Linked DNA regions of Struthio camelus. The protein of the gene in region 1 purifies or fractionates together with the protein of each later gene. This does not show direct contact. Links are inferred from orthologs where the notes say so. Each region holds a gene or a part of one and is shown in the gene's direction. Other genes may lie near its edges.

Region 1 (9,658 bases):
CCCCTGCTGGCCTCTACGGGCTTGTATGGACCTGAACAGAGCTCTACAGACTCATACAGGCCTGTACCAAGGTCATACCGGTCCGTGACGGCCTCTGCAGGCTTGTCTGGGCCCCTGCTGGCCTTTACGGGCTCATATGGGCCCGCATCAATGTCATACGGGCCCGTGCCGGCCTCTACAGGCTTGTACAGGCACGCGCCAAGGTCGTACGGGCCTGTGCCTGCCTCTGTGGGCTAGTACGGGCCCCTGCTGGCCTCTATGGGCTTGTACGGGCCCACACCGAGCTTTACGGGCCTGTATGGGCCCATTTCAAGTTGGTACAGGCCCATGCTGGACTCTACAGACTTGTACAGGCCCCCACTGAGTTCTATGGGCTTGTATGAGCCCTTGCTGACCCCGTACGTACATGGGCCCGTACATGCCAGCCTCTGTGGGCTTGTCCGGGCCCCTGCCAGCCTTTGTGGACTCGTACGAGCCCAAACTGAGCTCTACAGGCTTGTTCGAGCCCTTGCCGAGTGTGTACAGACCCATGTCAGACTCTGCCAGGGCTTGTCTGGGCCCGTGCCAGCCTCTGCGGGCTTCTCCGGTCCCCTGCCTGTTTCTATGGGCTCGTATGGGCCCACACAGGCCCATAGAGCTCAGTGCGGGCCCATACGAGACCATAGAGGCCAGTAGGGGCCCTGGGAAGCCCACAGAGGCCAGCACGGGCCTGTACAACCTTGATGTGGGCTCATACAGGCCTGTAGAGCTCGGTGCGGGCCCGTACACGCCTGTAGAGGCTGGCAGGGGCCCAGACAAGCCTGCAGAGGCCAGAACAAGCCCTACGACCTCAGTACAGGCCCGGACAAGCCCGTAGAGCTCGGTGCAGGCCTGTAGGAGCCTATAGAGGCCAGTATGGGCCCAGTCAAGCTCAGCGAAGGTTGTACAAGCCTGTAGAGCTCAGTGCGGGCCTGTACGAGCCTGCAGAGGCTGGTGTGGGCCCGTATGAGCTGAGCAAAGGCCCATACAAGCCTGTAGAGCTTGGTTCGGACCCATATGAGGTCATAGAACCTGGAGTGGGCTCATACAGACCTGTAGAGCTTGGCACGGGTCCGGACAAGCCCGCAGAGGCCGGCATGGGCCCATACAAGCCCATAGAGGCTGACATGGGCCTGGACGAGCTTGGCACAGGCCCGGACAAGGCTGCTGAGTCTGACACAGACCCGTACGAGCCCATAGAGCTCGGTGATGGTTCATAGGAGCCCATAGGTGCCGGCAGGGGTTGGGACAAGGCTCGTAGAGCTTGCTGTGGGCCCGCAACAAGCCCATAGAGGCCCCTGCCGGGACAGGCCTGTACGAGCTTGACCAGGGCCTGGAGAAGGCCATGGAGTCCAGTATGGACCCGTATGAGCCTGTAAGTGCCGGTGTGAGCTTGTTCGAGCTCGGAAAGGGCTCGTGCAGGCCCCTAGAGCTTGGTGCGGGTCCGTATGAGCCTGTAGAGGCCGGTACGGGTCAGGACAAGGCCTGTAGAGCTTGGTGCGAGTCAGTATGAGCCCACAGAGGCTGGCAGGGGCCTGTACAAGCTTGGCAAGGGCACGTACAAGCCCATAGAGCTCGGTGCAGGCCCGCAAAAGCCCACAGAGCTCAGCATGGGCCCATACAATATAATCCAGGCAGAGGCAGGCATGGGTGTGTATGAGCCTGTACAGGCCAGTACGGATGTGTACAAGTCCATAGAGGCCGGTACAGACCTGCAAGAGCCTGCAGAGGCGGGCACGGCTATAAGCGATCCTGTAGAGGCCGTGCATGGGCCCATACAAGCCCAAAGAGACTGGCTCAGGTGCGTATGGGCCCATAGAGCCCAGCACGGGTGCCTATGAGCCCGTAGCAGCCAACGCTGGCACATAAAACCCCATAGAGGCCAGTGCAAGCCCCTACAAGCCTGTAGAGACCAGCACGGGTGCATATGAGTCCGTAAAGGCCGGTACAGACCCCCTGCAAGCCCATAAAGGTCAGCACAGGTGCATAAAAGCCCACAGAGACTAGCCTGAGCCCGTAGAGACTGGCATGAGCCCATATGAGCCCATACAGGCCAGCATGCACACCTACAAACCTTTAGAGGCTGGCATGGATGCGTATGAACCTGTAGAGCCTGACAAGGGCCTATATAAGCCCGTAGAGTCTGGTAGGGACCCCTACAAGCCCCCGCTATGGGTGCATACGAGCCTGTAGAGGACAGCATGGGCACAAATGGGCTTGTAGAGGCTGGTTTAAGCCCCTATGAGCCTGTAAAGACCAGCACAGGCACATACAAGCCTGTAGAGGCTGGAATGGGCCTGCACAAGGCCAGGGAGCCCGGCACAGGTGCCTATGAGAACACAGAGGCTGGCACGGGTGCCTACGAGCCCATAGAGGCCAGAACAAGCCGACACAAGCCAGTATCAGCCAGCATAGGCTCATACAAGGCTGTAGAGGCCGTCACGGGCGTGTATGATCCCACAGAGGCTGGAATGGGTTTGTATGAGCCCATAGAGATGGCACGGGCCCATACAAGCCCATGGAAGCCAGCACAGGTGCGTATGAGCCCGTAGACGCCAGCAAGGATGTGTACACGCCTGTAGAGGCCAGCATGAGCACATATGACCCGTGGAGGTCGGCATGGGCGCATACAAGCCCACAGAGGCCGGGGCACGCCTGTGTACGATCCCATAGAGGTTGGCACAGTCCCGTACAAGCCCATAGAGGCCAGCACAGGCTTGTACAAGCCCATAGAGGCCAGTACGGACCTGTATAAGCCCACAGATGCAGGCACGGCCGCAGACAATCCTGTAGAGGCCCTGCACGGGCCCGTATGAGCCTGCAGAAGCTGGTTTTGGAGCGTACGAGTTTGCAGGGCCCAGCACGGGCCAGTACAAGGCTATAGAGGACAGCATGTGTGCATAAAAGCCCATAGAGTCTGGCACAAACCCATATAAGCCTGTAGAGGCTGGTACAGATATTTACAAGCCCATAGAGGCCAGAATGGACCTGAATGAGTCTGCAGAGGTCAGCACATACCGGTGCATATGATCGTGTAGAGGCCCTGCACGGGCCTGTATATGCCTGTAGAAGTTGGCACGGATGCATATGAGGCCATATAAGGCTGTAGAGGCATGCATGGGCATGTACGAGCCTGTAGAGACCGGCACAAACCCCCGTGAGCCCGTAGAAGCTGGTACGGACATATACGAGTCTGTGGAAGCCAGTACGGACCTGTCTGACCCTGTAGAGGCGGACATGGGTGCACACGAGCCCCTAGAGACCAGTAGGCATCCGTATGCTCTAGAGGACCCTGCTTGAGCAGGGAGGTTGGACTAGATGATCTCCAGAGGTCCCTTCCAACCTAAACGATTCTGTGATTCTGTGATTCTGTACGAGCCTGTAGAGGCCGGTACGGACACGTACGAGCCCGTAGAGGTGGGTACAGCTATGTTCGATCCCATAGAGGCCCTGCACGGGTACTTACAAGCCTGTAGAGCTCAGGACGGGTGCATACGAGCCCATAGAGGACGGCACAAGTGAAAATGGGCCCATAGAGGCTGGCTTAAGCTCCTACGAGCCTGTAGAGACCAGCATGGGCCCATATAAGCCTGTAGAGATGAGCACAGGCCTGTACAAGACCATGGAGCCTGGCATGGGCAGGTAGGAGACCACAGAGGCCAGAACAAGCCCATACAAGCCCATAGAGCTTAGCAATGGCCCGTGCAAGACAGCAGAGGCCAGCACAGGCCCGTATGAGATCACAGCCATGCCGAGCTCGTTCAAGCCTATAAGCCCAGCGTGGGTGCGTAGGAGCCTGGAGAGTTCGACAGGGGCCCATATGAGACCGTAGAAGCCAGCACAAGCCCATGAGCTGATAAAGGTCGGCATGGGCCCATACGAGCCCATAGATCCTGGCACAGGCTCACACGAGCTCATAGAGGCCAGTATTGGCATGTACGATACATCTGGGTCCCCCCTCACCACAGGGACCCAGGCGTCCGGGCCCCATTCCTACAGGGACCGTGATGTCTGGGGCCCTGCTCACCTAAGGGACTCATAGCTCCCTCTGGCCCCATAATCCCCTCCTGCCCCATAGCCCCCTCCTGCCCCATTGCTATCTTCATCTGCCCTCTGTGTCCCCACATGTCCCCCCTGTTCCCGCATATTCCTCATGTACCCCCATATCCCCTGTGTCCTGCCTTGTCCCCTGGCTCCCCACTTGTCCCCCTTCTCCCTCCGTGTCCCCCGCGTCCCTCCCCACCCCCAGCTTGCAGGGCACCGTGGCCGCTCACCGAGCTGCGGCTCCCTCCCGGACGCCTGGGTCCCCGCGAGCGGCCCCGCTGCCCGGAGCCGTGGGGAGGGATCGGCGGCTCCCGGTGACCGCTCCCAGAGCGGATCCCTGTGCAGCATTCTGGGGCACGTCTCGGGGCAGATCCCGGGGTAGGATCCCAGTGCTGGATCCCGGGACAGGATCCTGCTGCTGGATCCCAGGACAGGATCCCAATGCAGATCCCAGGGAAGAGTCCTGGTGCAGGATCACAGTGCAGGTCCCAGGACAGGATCCCAGGGTAGGTCTCATGGCAGGATGCCAGTGCAGGATCCTGGGGCAGATCCTGGTGCAGGATCCCAGGTGAGGTCACGGGGCAAATCCCAAGGCAGGATCCCAGTACAGGTCCCAGGACGTATCCCAGGGCAGGATGCCAGCGCAGGTCCCAGTGCAAGTATTGCTGAAAGAATCCAGGGCAAGATCTCGGGGCAGGTCCTGGGGCAGATCCCGGGGCAGGATCCTCGAGCAAATCTCAGGGCAGTTCCCGGGGCAAATCCTACTGTAGGATCCTGAGCGAGGATCCCAGGGAAGGTCCTGAGGCAAGATCCCAGGGCAGTATCCCGGGGCAGATGCTAGGGCAGATCACTGATGCCGGATCCTGGGACAGGTACCAGGGCAGGATTCCACAGCAGGATCCCAGTGCAGGTCTTGCTATAGGATCCCAGGGTAGTTCCCAGGGCAGAATCCTAGGACAGGTCCCTGGGCAGATCCTGGGGCAGGATCCCAGGACAGGTCTTGTGCAGGATCCAGATGCAGGGTCCCCGTGCAGATCCTGGTACAGGATCCCGGGGCAGATCCCGGGGCTGGATCCCAGTGCCAGTCCCAGGGTAGAATGCCGGGGCATGTCCTGGGGCAGGATCCCACAGCAGGATCCCAGTAGAGGATCCTGGGGCAGGGGGCGCACGCAGATCCCGGGGCAGGATCCCGGGGCGGGAATCACCGCACGGTCCTAGAGCCCGTTGCACATCCCCCCCCCCCCCCCAAAAAAAAAAAAAACCGCCCTCCACCTCGTACGCATGCGCACAGAGGCCGCGCCGACGTTGGGGCTCGACCTGCGCCGGGGAGCGCCTGGTCCCCCTCGACGCCAGGGGGCGCCCGCGCAGCGCCCATCGGCCGCCCTGCCTCTCAACCCAACCTGCGGGGCAGATGCGCGGGGCTCTAGTAAGCCCGCCTCTTCCCTGTGAGTGGCGGCAGCCCCGTCCAATCACAGCAGCCGCTGCTCCGTCCCTCGCAAGCAAAGACCATGGCGGGGCGCGCGCAAGTTTCCTATTGGCGGCTGCTCCAGCGCGACCCGTGGCTACGGGGCGGGACAACCCTGCGCGCGGGGCCAATGGCGGAGCGCCGCGGCTAGGGTGCGCCGCGGGCAGCAGGCTCCGCCGCGGCCCGGCCCGGCGCTGCGCGGCCCCCGGGCGCCCCCGGGCCCACCCGCCCGCCCGCCGCCGCCGCCATGGCCCTGCCCTTGCCCCGGCCCCTGCCCCGGCGCCGCGGCCCGCAGCGCTGAGCGGCCGCGCCCTGCCTGTCCCGGCCGCCGTCATGGCCGGGGCCATCGCCTCCCGCATGAGCTTCAGCTCGCTGAAGAGGAAGCAGCCCAAGACCTTCACGGTGCGCATCGTCACCATGGACGCCGAGATGGAGTTCAGCTGCGAGGTACCGGCCCCCCCCCCCCCCCCCCCCCGCCGCCGCCCCCTGTGCCCGCGGCGCCCCCCCCCCCCCGGGGCCATGGCGACACCCCCCGGGGAGGGGGGGGACCGCCGCCGGGCAGGGCTGGCGTTGCCCGTTTGGGGATTTTCCTCCCCCTCGTTAGCCCCCCTCTCGCCCCCGCGCCACCTCTCGCCGCTCCTTTTTGGGGGCCGTCGCCTCCGGGAGGGCCCTGCCGCCCGCTCCGGGCCCGCGGTCCGCGCCGTCGGGGCCGAGGGGTTTGCGGGCCCCGCTGGAGCCTCCGCTCCCTCCCGTCGCCTCCAGCGCGGAGCCGCGGCCCCGGCGGCAGCGGTTCCACCCCCGGGGCGGCCCGGGCTGCGGGGCCGCAGGAGACCCTGCGAAAGCCGGAGGCTGCGGCTCGCTGCTGGGAGCGGGCTGCCAGCCCGCCGCCTCTCCCGCCGCGCCGGCGGCTGCCGTCTGGGCTTTCCCCGCACGCAGGGAGCAGAAGCAGGCGCAAACCCAGCGGCGGGCTGTCACTAAGAGTGGGGAAGCTGCTGCTCAGTGCCCCGCGCCGCTGCCTTACCCTGGCCTAAAGGGAAGGTGAGCCCCTGCGTCTGCGTGCTTTCGTGCTTTCCGTACGTTATAGCCTAGCTGAGAGCAGGCACGAAAAGTGTAAGTCCACAAAGATAACTTTTTGGAGAGGTATGAGAGAAGGAAAATAGACCATTTGTATCTCGGATTTACTTTACTGTTGTAACTAAGCTGCTTGCTGATCAGCAGGCCTCATGAGGAGACTAGAGCTTGAGTTATATTGGGTGCCAAGGCTTAAATCTATAGGGATTCAACTTAAAACACTCAGGAAAACAAAATTTTCAAATGCTATATGACTTGCCCGTTCCATCCGCTGGATGAAATGTGTTTGCAAAGGCACAAGATCATGTTCTGATCTTCACTTCTCATCTGTTTATCTTTTTCTTTGATACCTTCTTTTTCTGGCCCTTGATAATTCCTTGGCACTCTTCCCTTGGGGGCTGATATCAGCTCCTAAGAGCCTAATTTGTAATCACTGTTTTTACATGATCAGCTGGGCTTCTAAGTTGGGCGCTTAATGACTGAAAGCCAACTCTACCCAGATTAAAACATAAACTAGTTTAAAAAGAAAGGTTCTTCATCTGATCCAAATTTTGCTGCAATTCCAGTGCCCATAAACCGAAAAGGTATTTGCCCTTGTAAGCTTTCTTGCTGATGAAATGTGTTGTCAGCTCTGCGGAGCTTCCTCCCATTCCCAGAGATTAAGGATTTGTTTTCACCCACAGTGGCGTGAGGTTCCCACCATCACTCTGCCAGGAGAGGTGAAGCGTCCTGGCTTGCCTCGTGCCTCCTTTCCTGAGGCTGCCAATGATAAAGAAAAGGACGTACTTCTTTTTTAATAGTATGGCCACTTGTCCTTTCATGTTGGGCTTCAGGTATTTCTGACAGGGGAACGCAGCGCGCTCGGGTTGGGTTCAAATGTGCAACTCGTGCATCTGAAGAAAAGCCTGTCAGGGAGGTTCCTGCCCAAAAAGCTTGTTACTGCCGATGGGCTTCTCTGTGCACAGGAAGGACTGAGAGTCTGTGGGAGGGATGCTGCTCTGCTCCCCTGGTGAAGGACGCAGTGGGACTTTGGCTGTCATCCCTCAGCGCAGAGGAGCGCTCGACCTGGGGAAAATTGGAGCAAAGCGGGGAGGTCACGGGGCTGTTTCGCGCTGTGTCTGGTGCAGGTGAGGTGGGAGTTCTAGTCGAGCTGCGTGTCTACTCGCTTGGTCTGCAGCCACCCTGTCCAAACGTGCCGAGGAGGAGTCGGGGATCGCCGATGAGCCATCCTCTCCCAGCGAGCCTGGCTGGGCGGAAGACAGAGGGGATCGCTGCTGCTTCCAGGCTGTTCCTCCATGTGCTTGTCCCCATCCTTGCTGCCGCTCTCCAGTCATCTCCTGGCCCCACAGCGGGATGAAGCCAGCAGGCAACAAGGGGCTGGCAGTTCCTCCCCAAGGCTGCAGGTCCCTTGGAACAGGAGCTGTGCCTCTGGTTCACCTCCAGCCGCAGGACCCATAATAAACACGGCAACCCTCCTGGTGCTGGGGCTGCCATGCCTCGGTGGGGAGAGGCTCTGCTACAGGCAGAGCTGGCCAATTTGTGTCACCCTTCCTCGCTGGTGTCTCGTGTCCCTGATCCCCTCCACCTCCTAGGATCTTTGTCCTTCCTCTGAACAGCGGAGGCAGCCGCTGCTGTGACTGCCCTTCCGCTCCTGCCTTTCTGTGCAGCGTTAGTATGACTGTTTGTTTTTTTAAATATATATTTTGTTCCACAGCTTTCTACTGTGTGTTTTCATCAGTTGGGCTTCCCAGCCCTGTGATATTGTTAACAACTTGAGGACATGCCAGTGGAGGCCCAGGCCATTAAGGGTGCCCAGGGCTTGGTGGAAACAGTTGAGCCAGTGTGGCTGAAGAAGCAGTAATCAATAACTGGCTCCCTCACGGCGGGAAGTACAACGGGTGGCTTAAGCTCACCCACTCTGCTCAGCACGTTTTTTTTAATGTGCTCATTTTTAAATCTGTTCTGTAGGAATCCCCAGCTGTGCATTTCAGGAGATTAAACCTGCTTTGCATCTGTCTGTTCTGCAAATAATGTCCCTAAATTGAGTCTAAATCCGCAGTAATGCGCAGAAATGAGATCTTAATCTTTGTAATGCTGTGATGGAACTTAATAATCACAGCTGGGGTTTCACTTTAAAGATTCATAATTTGTTTGGGGAAATCTTGAAGGTGCGAGGTTGGTGTCTTCTTCTTTGTTGCTTCCATTACAGCTGCCTGAGCGCAGCAACTAATTAATTGATAGCATCTCGAGGAGTGATACACATTTGCATGGCTCTTAATACTGCTCTGTTAAACCAGTCCCCAGCAGCTCCACCTTTCCAAGGACACCTGCAAATGGCTCATGCAGTCCGTCGGCTCCCTGTGCTCGGAGGGGAGGGCAGTGCAGGCGAAAACTTCCCAAAAGGAGTTGGGAGTTGATACTCTGCGATGAACACAGCGACACACTGGGTGCTGCCCAAGGAACAATTCAGGAAGTTGTTTTAAGCGGCAGTAGCGTACATCAGAGCTTGCCGGAGCATGGTACTGGAACCGCGAGGGGTTTGATACTGCTGCAGGGTGCCGTTGTCAATGGTTTCCTCTTCAGCTGCTGCTTTCTGGTGGAACCTTGTGCCATCGCTCGTGGCCCCAACCAAAACAAGTTGGTGAGCCCCACACTTGCACAATTCGAGGTGGCAATCTAGTTTTGCTGGCGCCCCTTCCAGACAAGGTGGTCTGCTCTCCGTCATCTCTGGCATAGCTTAACCTCATGGTATTCTGGGTCTGGATCTTCCAAAGCTTTTTTGCATGCTCTTCCTCTACCAGGATCTGATTTCCATAGGAGCTGCTGTGGTCAAGTTTTCTCCTCGTGTGTGTTGAGGGTGGTGTTTTTTTTTTTTTTTTTTTTCCTAAAACCCAAGCTGCCTGCTAGATGGGAGAGCTCCAGTCTCGTTCTCGTGTGTCTCTGCCCCTTTCTTGCTGTGACAGCTGCAGCTGGGCTTGTAGCTCTCCATCTTTGGGGCTACAGCACCTTTCCTGAAGGCTGTTTCTCTGTAACCCCCTCCATAGTACTGATGACAAATGG
Region 2 (10,235 bases), on another chromosome or scaffold:
CATCAAGGAGAAGTCGTTTGTGCATTTTTTTTTTGACATTTGTGCCACAAGGCCGGGTAGATAATTGCACAGATCATGGCTCCAGGATCACAGAGTCAGGTCCCTGCGGGGTCCCCGATACTAGAGTATCAGATAGGTCTTCTCAATCACTGGCACCATCCAGACAGAAACTTTAGGAGCAGAGGAGCTTGATGTGTGGGTATGTTTTACTGATAGAGGCTGGGACTCTGGAAAGCACCTAAAGCGACACTCCTTTAGCCTGGGGAGAGACCCATCAGGTGGAAGGTGAGCTGCTGTGGGCCTGCGCAGGCTTGCCCTTGGATGGTGAAACATCTAGGACTTGGGAAGGTCAGAGCTCTGCGTGGGTGTGCCAAAGGGCTCGGTATGTGGAGCAGTGGCACAGGGCTCACCTTGAAGTGAAGGAGGAAGGGTTAGGAGCCAGACCAAGTCTGGGGTCCCGTACGCCAGTGTATGAGCCAGCTATGCCAGCCAGGTGCGGGGGGAGGACAAGACGTGCTGCATCCTTTACGTGGGCCAAAGAGCACATCTGTTTTTGATATATAACTCACTCACTCTCACAATAGCCAGCATGATCATCATTTTGCTAAATCTTTTCTGGCTCTTGCGTGACTCTTGGAAAAGCATTTGACAAGATACCGTTTACCTTCCCTTTTCTTCCTCAGGAGCTCTAATTTTGTTTAGCAAATAATGACATTCCCCACAGCAGCTTCCTCTGAAGAAGTTCTCCTCTGACTTCAGTCCTCCAAAGAGAGCATTATATATGTTTTATTTCTAACTCACTCCAGTGAAAAATAATATGACTTTAACAAAAGGCTCTAACAGTTCCCATTTGCCAGCTAAGATCCTACCCTAACTCACTGCCATTGCATCAAACAATTTCTTATTTTTTCGAGTAAAGAAGCTTCCTCAGCCTGCTCTTGAGTTTCACCAGGGAAGAAATTATTGTGATTGAGATGCAGAAGTCTTGAAAACAAGATTAACCTAATTAATACACAAAGGGCACCTCTCACACCTCTCTCTGTAGAGCAAATACTTTCAGGCAAAAGGCAGCCAGAGATATGCAGTCTGGGTTTCACAGTTAGTTTAACATGTGCTCCCAGAAGCAGATCGGTCCTGGGGCTGACAGAGGCAGGAGCTAGAGGTAACTGTACAAGAGTTGCACCCAGGAGCAGGACCAGGATGTGGTTCAAGACCCCCCAGCCTCATGTCAGGGTCCTGAGGGCAGCAATGGGCCATAATTGTCCTGAGCATCTTCTCTCCACCCTGCCCAGCCTGGGGACATCAGTCCCTGTCCCATGACAATGCAGCAGTGCTGGGTCCAGCCCTGCCCCTGCCTAGCTACAGGTCTGATCCTGACCCTGACCCACAGATGACCACCTGGCCTGGCCTCAGTCCATCCCTGTCCCTGAAACAGGGTCCGATGCCAGGGCTGGGGTTGCCCTGGCTGCCCCCAGTGCCCTTCTCCCTCTCGGCTGGTGGGACTGCCCTGGCAGCGAGGCCCAGCCCTGTTGCCACCAGGATCCCCCGCCAGTACTGACCCAGGAGAGCCACGCGATGTCATGATAGCTATGGTGTCCAGGCTGGGCCAGTGTTTACTGGCTCTCAGGGAGGCAAGCCCTGATGTTTCACAGCCAACTTACAAGGAAGGGCAGGTTTCTTGCCCTGAGAGCCTGAGGCATGGGGCAGCCCAGGTAGTGGTGCCGTGCTGGGGGACGCCAGCCGTAGACCCTCCTCTTGCACGTGCCTCATCTTCCCGTGGACCCTGCAGCTCCATGTCCTCTTGTCCTTCCCCTTCCCACCTCCTCCCTGCCTAGTAACCCAAGAGCTGCCATCCTCATTCTCCCCTACAAGTAATTTAAGACTTCCCCCACTGCCTGTGACTTATTTCCGTCTTCCCACAAATGACCTTTCCCTCCTTTCCCTTGATCAGTTCAGATAACGCTGCCAGTGCTACTGACTGGGGAGAAGCATAAGGCCGGCAGGGAGCACCCAATGCCCTGTGGAGGGATAAACCAGGTCAGAGCCATGAGGCTCTGCAGCTGTGCTAAAACCTTGGCAGCTTATAGCAGCCTCTGAGATTATCGCACTGGCCAGGACAATGTGCTCTTTGCACTGGGAGAGGGAGCAGAAAAAACATCACTCAACCCTGGAGAAGTCCCCCTCGGCTCAGGCGCTGTGGTTAGGAAAGGGACAGGGAGGCTGGTGACACCCAGTGGGAGTCGCTGTCCCCGTAAAGCTTTGAGTAAAGCCAACGTGGTGTGGAGATAGAGGAGAGAGACCTCCCCTTCTTGGAGGAATTCTTCCACAGCAGATATGCCGCTAAACAACTTAATGTTCATCACCATCTTGCTCTTTCTGATGCTGCGATCCAAAGCGGGAAAAGGTCGAGTTTGATTTGGACTGCAACGTTGTTCTTCATTTGTCTGCAAGGCAGATTTGTGCAGCCGGTTGTAAATCTGGTGGGGAGTTAATGACTCACTTGTGTAAAAGTCGTGGAACTATGTGAATTACGCAACATCTGCTGTTCACCTTTATAAAGATGGTTTTGGCTCACCTTGTTGTTTGTGTAGGAACAAATGTGCCTGTACAGCAGGCTGAGTGATTGCAGCTCCGCACAGACATGCTTAGGAGAAGAGTTAGTGCGTGCCCTATGTTAGCAGGCCTGGAAAAGCTGTCAGGACTCTGTGTCTCTGTAATTACAAGTCTGCTACGCGTGATTTTTTTAAACAAGCTTAATCCGAAACCTCCACTACAAATACTGAACTGCAGGGACATTTGAAACTTGATTTCTATCCAAACTACATGGTTTCTTCTAGGGTCTCCCAGGATAGAGTCAAAGTCTCAGCACTAAGCACCAGGGGAAGGTCTGGATTTGGATCTAGATCCACTGAGAGCCAACACGCACTAAAACATTTCCATTATATCATGTTTCTGCAGCCAACTCCTTGTAACGTATTCCCTTTTTTGGTGCCAAATTGTGCTGTGACTTCTCCTAGCCTAGTCTGCAGCCCTTCTGCCCGGCTGCATAGGGACATCCCTGCTCCTCTAGGCATGTCGTTGCCACCCAGTGCCCGTGAGTTCAGGGGAAGACCTCTGTATCTGCCTGAATCTGCTTCTGTGGGTTCGTAGGCTGTGATAGGCAGGCCTGGACTTGAGGGCAGCCTCAGGGCATCAGCCAGTGCTCCTCTCAACTCTCAGACTAGCAGGGCACTCTGGAAGTGAAGACATCAGGATTTCACCCATAGTTTAAAATTCAGGCCGCTAGTCACACACAAATCTCTTTCTCAGGGGGTTGAGCTAATTGATTTTCAGAGGCCCCTTCCAAATTCAACCACTCTGTGATTCTGTGATCCCTCTCCCTTCCTTATTCTAGTCCTTGCCACTCTCCTGTTACCTACCTGGAAAATTTAGAAGTTGCTGGAGAAACATATTAATTTGAGGGGAAAACTGGGGACAAAAGCATCAGTGTATGACATTTCCTACACTGACACTCTGGCCTGCTTTGCTGTTCAGTTGATCTGTTGGTGGGGTTTTCCTTGTAATGAGGAACACCTCGCTAGATCTTTGCTAAAATTGACAGTTCCTGGCGATATCTGTTAACTCACAAGGTGGAATGGAAATAATAATGTGCTAAATGGATTCAGGGCTGAGGCTGTTTCCTGCTGCAGCTGTGGCAGCAAGCCTGAACATCAGATTGGAGTCAACTCATCCTGTCATTTCCCTGCCTGTGCAGAGCCCAGATCTTTCACAGCACCAGACACCGGGTGCCATCTCAGCTGACACTAGTTGGCACCTCACTGGGCACAGAAATGTCTCTGTTGCTCGGACACTTCTTCCTTTATGATCAGGGTTGAGATATGTCTACAGAGAAGGTCTGGGAACTTGAGGTGTTTGCAACTTGGGGGGTGCCTGGTACTCCCCAGATCCACTTGCTTCCCAAATACACATCTGCAGCGTGGGCAGCCTGCAAACAGCCTCGTGCCTGGCAGCGTCGTAACCTGTCAATGCTGTGCTAACGCTATATTGGGGTGCCAAGCACAGATAGATACTGCCAGAGGCAGTAGGCAATGCTGGCCAGTTCACAGGTGTGAGAACGCAAGATGAGAGTCAAGAGCCATGCTTAAAGCCAGGAGGATGTGACAAAATTGAGTTACAGCTGGAGAAGAGCAAAGGCCACCGAAGGGAGAGTTGGCACAAAGCCTTCACAGAACATTTCTCTTTCCCATTCACTGCACAGGAATGTTTAAAGCTCCTGCGGCCCAGGAAGCAGGAGCTGTTTGACTCCCAAATATGAGGTTTTTTATTTAACCTAATGGCTGAAAGGTTTTCACGTCTGAGCTCATAATTTTGAAATCACCTCCTCTGTATCACGAGCTGTCAAGAATGAAGACGGATGGAGTTTATCTTTTGGGAGATGGAGCAAAAATGAAGATCCAGTTGCATCTGTCTCACCAATAAGAGGTTTAGCTAGGTCTCGGTGCACCTGCAAAGGAATGGAATTGTGGATCTAATTTACTGATCAAAGGTGCTGGACTTCCTATGCTCGGATGAACAGGCTGTTCATGCATGTTTTCATGCATAAATTAGGGCAAACTGAAGTTTCACTCCTGAGAAGTCCTTTATATAAAACATCTGGAAAAAATGCAGATCTAACAAAATGTTGCACTGTGTGAACGTTTGCTGCAGCCATTCCCTCACCGTAGCAGATTAGCACATTTCTTTCCTTTGCAAGAAGATGGTGTAACCAAGGACCTCCTTGGATTGCTTGGTCTCCATTCTCAGCCTTCTTTCCTCACCTATACTGGGCACAAGGAGGTTTTCTGGGAAGCTCACCTGCATGGTATCCCACTCTCTCATAGTATTTCCTTCCTCTTCCAAGACTATCTGCTATGACTTGATCATAGCAGAAATCCATTTGCTGGTGTCACTTTTTCCCAGGTGGTTTTGACTCAAGAGAAACTCCAGGAAGACACTTGTCATCCTTATCAAGATGTAACTAGCCCAGACACTGCAGTATAACATTGTTTTTTAAATCTGTACCGCTGATGACTCAGCCTCCAATTACAGATAGTCATCAGGGACTACTTCACTTCGTCTTTCCTCTCAGTCAGAGACTGTCCCATAACCTGTGCAATCCACTGAGCTTCAGATCAGCTTTTCTAGTGCTTTGGGTGCTTTTCGAAATGTATCACTGTTGCTCTTAAACGTTTACTGCACATGCCTCTTGAAACCACTGGAAAATGCCAGCACTAAAGCAGACAACTCAGCCTCTCCTTTAGATTTTATCTTTGGGGACATATGAATTAGAAATGTCCCTGAAACAATGTAGTCCGTTTACAGCTGTTGGATGTGAACTCCTCACAGTGCACTGCGTACCTTCTAGGAATATAAATAGCCTGTTGCTTTTTTTTTTTTTCTTTTCTCTCTCCACTGCACTTCTGTGGCTTACTTTCCCAAAGATAATTATATGACTCAGGAAGACAAATGCATACTTCACATACTCGTGGGAATCATAATGCTGATAGGTGGTTGAGAGCATTTTGAAGCTCTTTGAACACACAAGAACAGTTGAATTCCAGTGACTTACCTACACAAACCAAAGCAAGTCCAGGCAATGGCTGCATAGTTTTTGTGGAGTCCTTACCCAGTGAAGGACAAATATCTTCCTGAGAAGGAATAATCTTTGGTCTTACAGTACCGAGGCACAGTCAGTCTTTGTTGCCAGAGAAATCACGGGCATTTTGTGAGGTAAGATTTACTCTTTGTATTTTACTGTTTTTTGAAAGATCTTGTCCAGACTAAAGCTGGAACACTTCCTACCATGAAGACAAAAAAAAAAAAAAAAAAAGCAATCCTGTGCTTTCTGAAAGATGATAAGAATAGCACGGAGCAAGCAATGATCATCTGCTAACTAGATAAGTGATTATTAATGGTAAAATAACCTGGCATCTACTTGCCTATGAAGATAACCAGTAAGAATCAGACGTTGTGGTGTTCGACATAGACGACTCTGTCAAAGATACAAAAAAAGACACAGACTTTACTTTAAGTGTTTGAACATTTGGATAATTATATTACAATTTAATTTGCTAATTTTGGAAGAAAGTGGACGAGTAAGAGGTAACAGCAATTTTATTATTCCATGCAGTAACTTGGAGACTCTTACGGATCTTAAGGCTCTTTCTTAAAACTACCCCAAATCTAGTCTTTGCGTGGTTGATATGAATACCTAGAATCTCATGTAACTTTTTACAAAAGCTGTGGTCAGTAGCAGCAATGCTGTGAGGCTGCTTCATCGGGTCTTCCTGCTTCTGCAATTCCTTAGGCAGGTTTGTGAGGTAGAGTAGGAGCTTGAATTTGGTTGAAATTAAAGCTAATATTTATAGAGCTTTTAAAGCTTTCATTTCAGTTCCTGGATATCTATATAGATGTGTGTGCCTAGCTAGGGACAAATTATTTCAAATGAAATCATGATAAGTAAATAGGCATGTATTTATTTATTTGCCTTTCACCTTTATTTTCTATCCAAAAGGAGCTTCTAGCTCCTGTCCCCCATCAGCACTTGAAACTTTCTACCTGCAGTATTTCCCCCGCTCCCAGATTGGGACAGTTTCTCCCAAGAGGCTTTGTCACATTTAGGGTTTATCCAAAATGCAGGACGTCAGGGTCCCCGAGCCGTGCTGGGAGCGAGAGCGGCGGGGTCTGCCTGGCGCTGGCGAGCCGCCGCGGCCGCCGCGCGCTGCCTGCCGGGCGCCGCACGCCGGGCACGCGTGCCCCTGCCCCGCTCCTACCGCCCGCAGCAAAGGCAGAGGCACGGCAGCTGCTGCTCTGGGACGGGCTCTCTTCTGAGCAGGTCGGGTGTTTCATGGCTCCCGAACGGTTTCTCTTTGCGGAGGCGAGGGGAGAGATAGGGCTCCGCAGGGCAACGCGCAGCCTGGCCTGAAACGCACACGCTATTTGCAAACTTGCAGCTTTTATAAAAAAGGCTCCTATCCTGGGAACTGTGGAGCCTTAAAGTGCTTCTTGGCTCTGGACTTGTCCTTTAGCTGCAGTAAGATCAGGTTAATGATGCATTAGTTCAAGATAACTACCATGAGATCATGTAATTAACTTGTGATCCTACCCTGTGCCAGTTGGCTGAGATTGCATTCTTTTAAGAAACTCTTTAAGACTAGCAACAAATAGAGCTTTTTGAATGACTGCATTAACAATGAGCTCATTAGTCACCTTTTGGGTTAATTAAAGGAGAATGTTCACAAGAAAGGCAATAAAGAGCTACAGAGGGTGATTAAATGCAGCCGTCAAGCTGAGGTGTTTGGAAGCAGCGAAAGCAGTTTATTACTGTGGGTTCCCTCCTGCGCTGGTTGAGCTCCCTGTTGCACGGCAGGGCACGGGTGCACAGGGGCCATGGCTTTTCTGGGCTCCTGGTGGCCCGACCCAAGGCCCGATCCGCATCCCACTCCAGGTCAGTTCGACTCCCGCTGGCCTCAGCAAAGCTTGGTCAGACTTTCCCCATACCACACCTACCGCCCTTGGGCAGATGAATAACTGTTCAAAGGCGGGTTTAGAAAGCTGATTCCTTCCTGGGGCAGTGGTAACTGCCCAGGAGCAGCTGGTGCTTGCCTAAGCGATGTGATTTCACCTCAGTAATGCTCTCAGATTTGGCACACGAGGCCTTTTTGACACATAAAAGTCTTACTCTAAGCATAAAAGCCATAGAGGGTTGGGGATGCTTTAAATCCTCTGGACTGATTGAATAAAGGCAGAGCAGAGCGAGGCTTGTCCCAACTCAGGGAAGCAGATTGCATCTACCTGTACAAGTGTTTTGGTTTTAACCACTGCCAGTGCAGCCACACTGTGGCTTTCACTGCCAGAATTGTACTGGTACAACCATAACAGCCTTTATCAGATGTGGGAATCCTGGTACCACTCGTGTAAGACGCAGTCTGGGCCTCACACCATTACCGTTTAGGCACTGTAAGGATTTGTGTAGCGTTTCTCTGAGCGTGGAGCTGGTTATTTCAATATAATGTTCAAATATTTTTCAAATGAAATAGTATTTTTGTGTGGCACTGGGAAGCAGTTCAGGACTTCACCATGGCCACAGGTCTGCCCAGGAAATGGAGCCTCTCTCATGATGTTTAACCCCAGCCCTGGTGGCTGCAAGGCTGCTTCAGGAGGTCTTCTCCTGCAGGCTGCCTGCATTCGCTCCCTCTCGTCCAGTCATGCTCCAGTCAGCCCAAACTCCCTTCTTCGGTGCCCACTTCTTGCCTCAGCCTCAGCCCTTCCTTGGCTGCCCACCTCATCCTTTTGGCGTGACAAATGTCCTGCCCAAATCCTACAAACATGTCCAGCGGTGCAGGTTTGGATTTGTGCCCCCTCTTGCCAGAAAAGGCACTAGTAACAGCTCGCCCCTGCTGCAGGGTTTGCAGTGTGAGAAGAAGCAAAGATTTTTCTCCCAGTTCCTGCTCTCTCTTGCCAAAATGGTGGCTGTTGCCTAACCCTGCTCTCCTCTGCGTGAGTCATCGTCTGCTGCACCATCTACCAACCTTCCCTTGACTGGTGGGCTCCTCAGGTGCTGCTTAGTCCTTTCTCTTGCCCAGCCTCCACCAATGCTTTATTCCCTTTTACACCGGGCAGTGATGCCCTTGTGATGGCTCTGGGGTCACCAAGCCTGGCCTGGTGTTTGCCATTGCCCTGTCAAGCGGCATCGGGTCAGCTTGGTGCTGCTCCACTGCCCAGACACCAGTCTGCTCATCCCACATTTCTGCACTCCCACAAGCCCGGATCCTGCTCAGAAGTGTGAGTTTTTCTTGGTTGCTGCAAGTCATTGGACAGGTAGTTGATCTAATTAATAAATCATTATACATGGAGTGCTTCTGTACGCACTTTGAGGGCTCAGACCAGTAAGCTGATATGTGGTGATCACTACACCTGGCATTGCACAAGGTTAGATTGGATTTAGCGTTTCATGAAAATGTACCCTCTTTCATTCCTCATGGAAGAAGGGAAAAAACAGACCCAGACATGCTCAATTAACTGTGAAAATCACCTCCAATCTGTGGCTTCTGGAAGATGCCCATTGTTTTTCCTCCTAACCAAGCAGGTGGATCCAAATACAGCCCACTGAACAGCTCTGAAGCTGAACAGTAGGTAAAGAGATGCTATAACTCAGAGAACATAGGACAGCCTTCTTTTAACAGATGTGCTTTGGAAAGCAGTGTCTTATTTTGGTGAATCATGTGGATGGAGCATTTACTATGGGTACTGCTTGGGTGAACACCACCTATTTCTTCTTTTCCTCCAAATCAACCCCCAGCTTGCAGGAGTATTTAGGATTTGCTGCTTTAATCTCTTGTCTATATGGGTTAGTCTCAAGTCATTAACTTGTACTTTCCTGCTGTTCTGGCTGTGTGAATTCTGCAGTCTGTGGTACTAAAAAAATTCCCAGTGCAGCTGCTTACTGCCTAGAGAATCTGTGTGGCAGATTGTTTTAAACTGGAAATGTTCCAGATGGGAAGCTTAGCTGACCTTCGTTCTCTGACAGCCAGCTCTTACAGATTAGAGAAGTTGTAAAATATTACTGAAATGATCATTCCAATGTTACGCTATTTTGTTCTGCAGTTAGGAAGAGCTTTATAGGTAAGACCGAAAAAGGGCAGTCACTTGTGACTTGTTTGGCTTTTATTTGAGGTACAATGAAAGCTGTGAAGAGAAAAGGCTCTCAACTCAACTTCCCCTCCCACCGTTCTTTCTTATACCATATCAGGATATCATATATCCTGAAGCTATGTCAGGAATGACAAGTCTTTTCTTGTCTTGCTCTTTTAGAGGACTAGTGGAAGATGTACGATCGAACACAGGATCTAAGTCTAGGCACTTTTAAAAATCTGACATTTGATTTTTCTTGTTCCTGAATTACTGAGGTAATAGGTGTTGACTACTGAATGCAATGCAACCTGAGTTCTTCAGCTAGAGCATAAATCACGTTCCTCCTCAACGCAACAAGTTTCACTTGTATCTACAGTGCTGCAGACCTGCTGCTCCATCATTCTGCCTGCAGAGTCCTCCATGCAGGAAGGAGCCCTGGACATCTACCCTAGTGTGTGGGTGAAGCAGGGCTTGGCAAAGGAAAATAGGGCTCCTAAGTCAAGGAGAGACTGAATTAAATTATTTTGAGTTGGTTATTGCGGTGTGAGGGAATGCAGCCTTGC

Evidence for each region.
Region 2: the proteins of NF2 (region 1) and AMOTL1 purify together in Homo sapiens (affinity purification with mass spectrometry; 6 studies listed by BioGRID and IntAct, counting the BioPlex papers as one, with this or other methods). This does not show direct contact. The link is inferred for Struthio camelus from reciprocal best matches to the Homo sapiens genes NF2 and AMOTL1.

Annotation. Positions count from the first base shown.
Region 1 is NC_090958.1:5,128,529-5,138,186, reverse strand, and holds the start of NF2 (merlin), read left to right. Parts: upstream 1-5,740; 5' UTR 5,741-5,860; coding exon 5,861-5,974; intron 5,975-9,658. UniProt on the Homo sapiens protein: Probable regulator of the Hippo/SWH (Sav/Wts/Hpo) signaling pathway, a signaling pathway that plays a pivotal role in tumor suppression by restricting proliferation and promoting apoptosis.
Region 2 is NC_090942.1:212,027,251-212,037,485, reverse strand, and holds the start of AMOTL1 (angiomotin-like protein 1), read left to right. Parts: upstream 1-5,514; 5' UTR 5,515-5,769; intron 5,770-10,235. UniProt on the Homo sapiens protein: Inhibits the Wnt/beta-catenin signaling pathway, probably by recruiting CTNNB1 to recycling endosomes and hence preventing its translocation to the nucleus.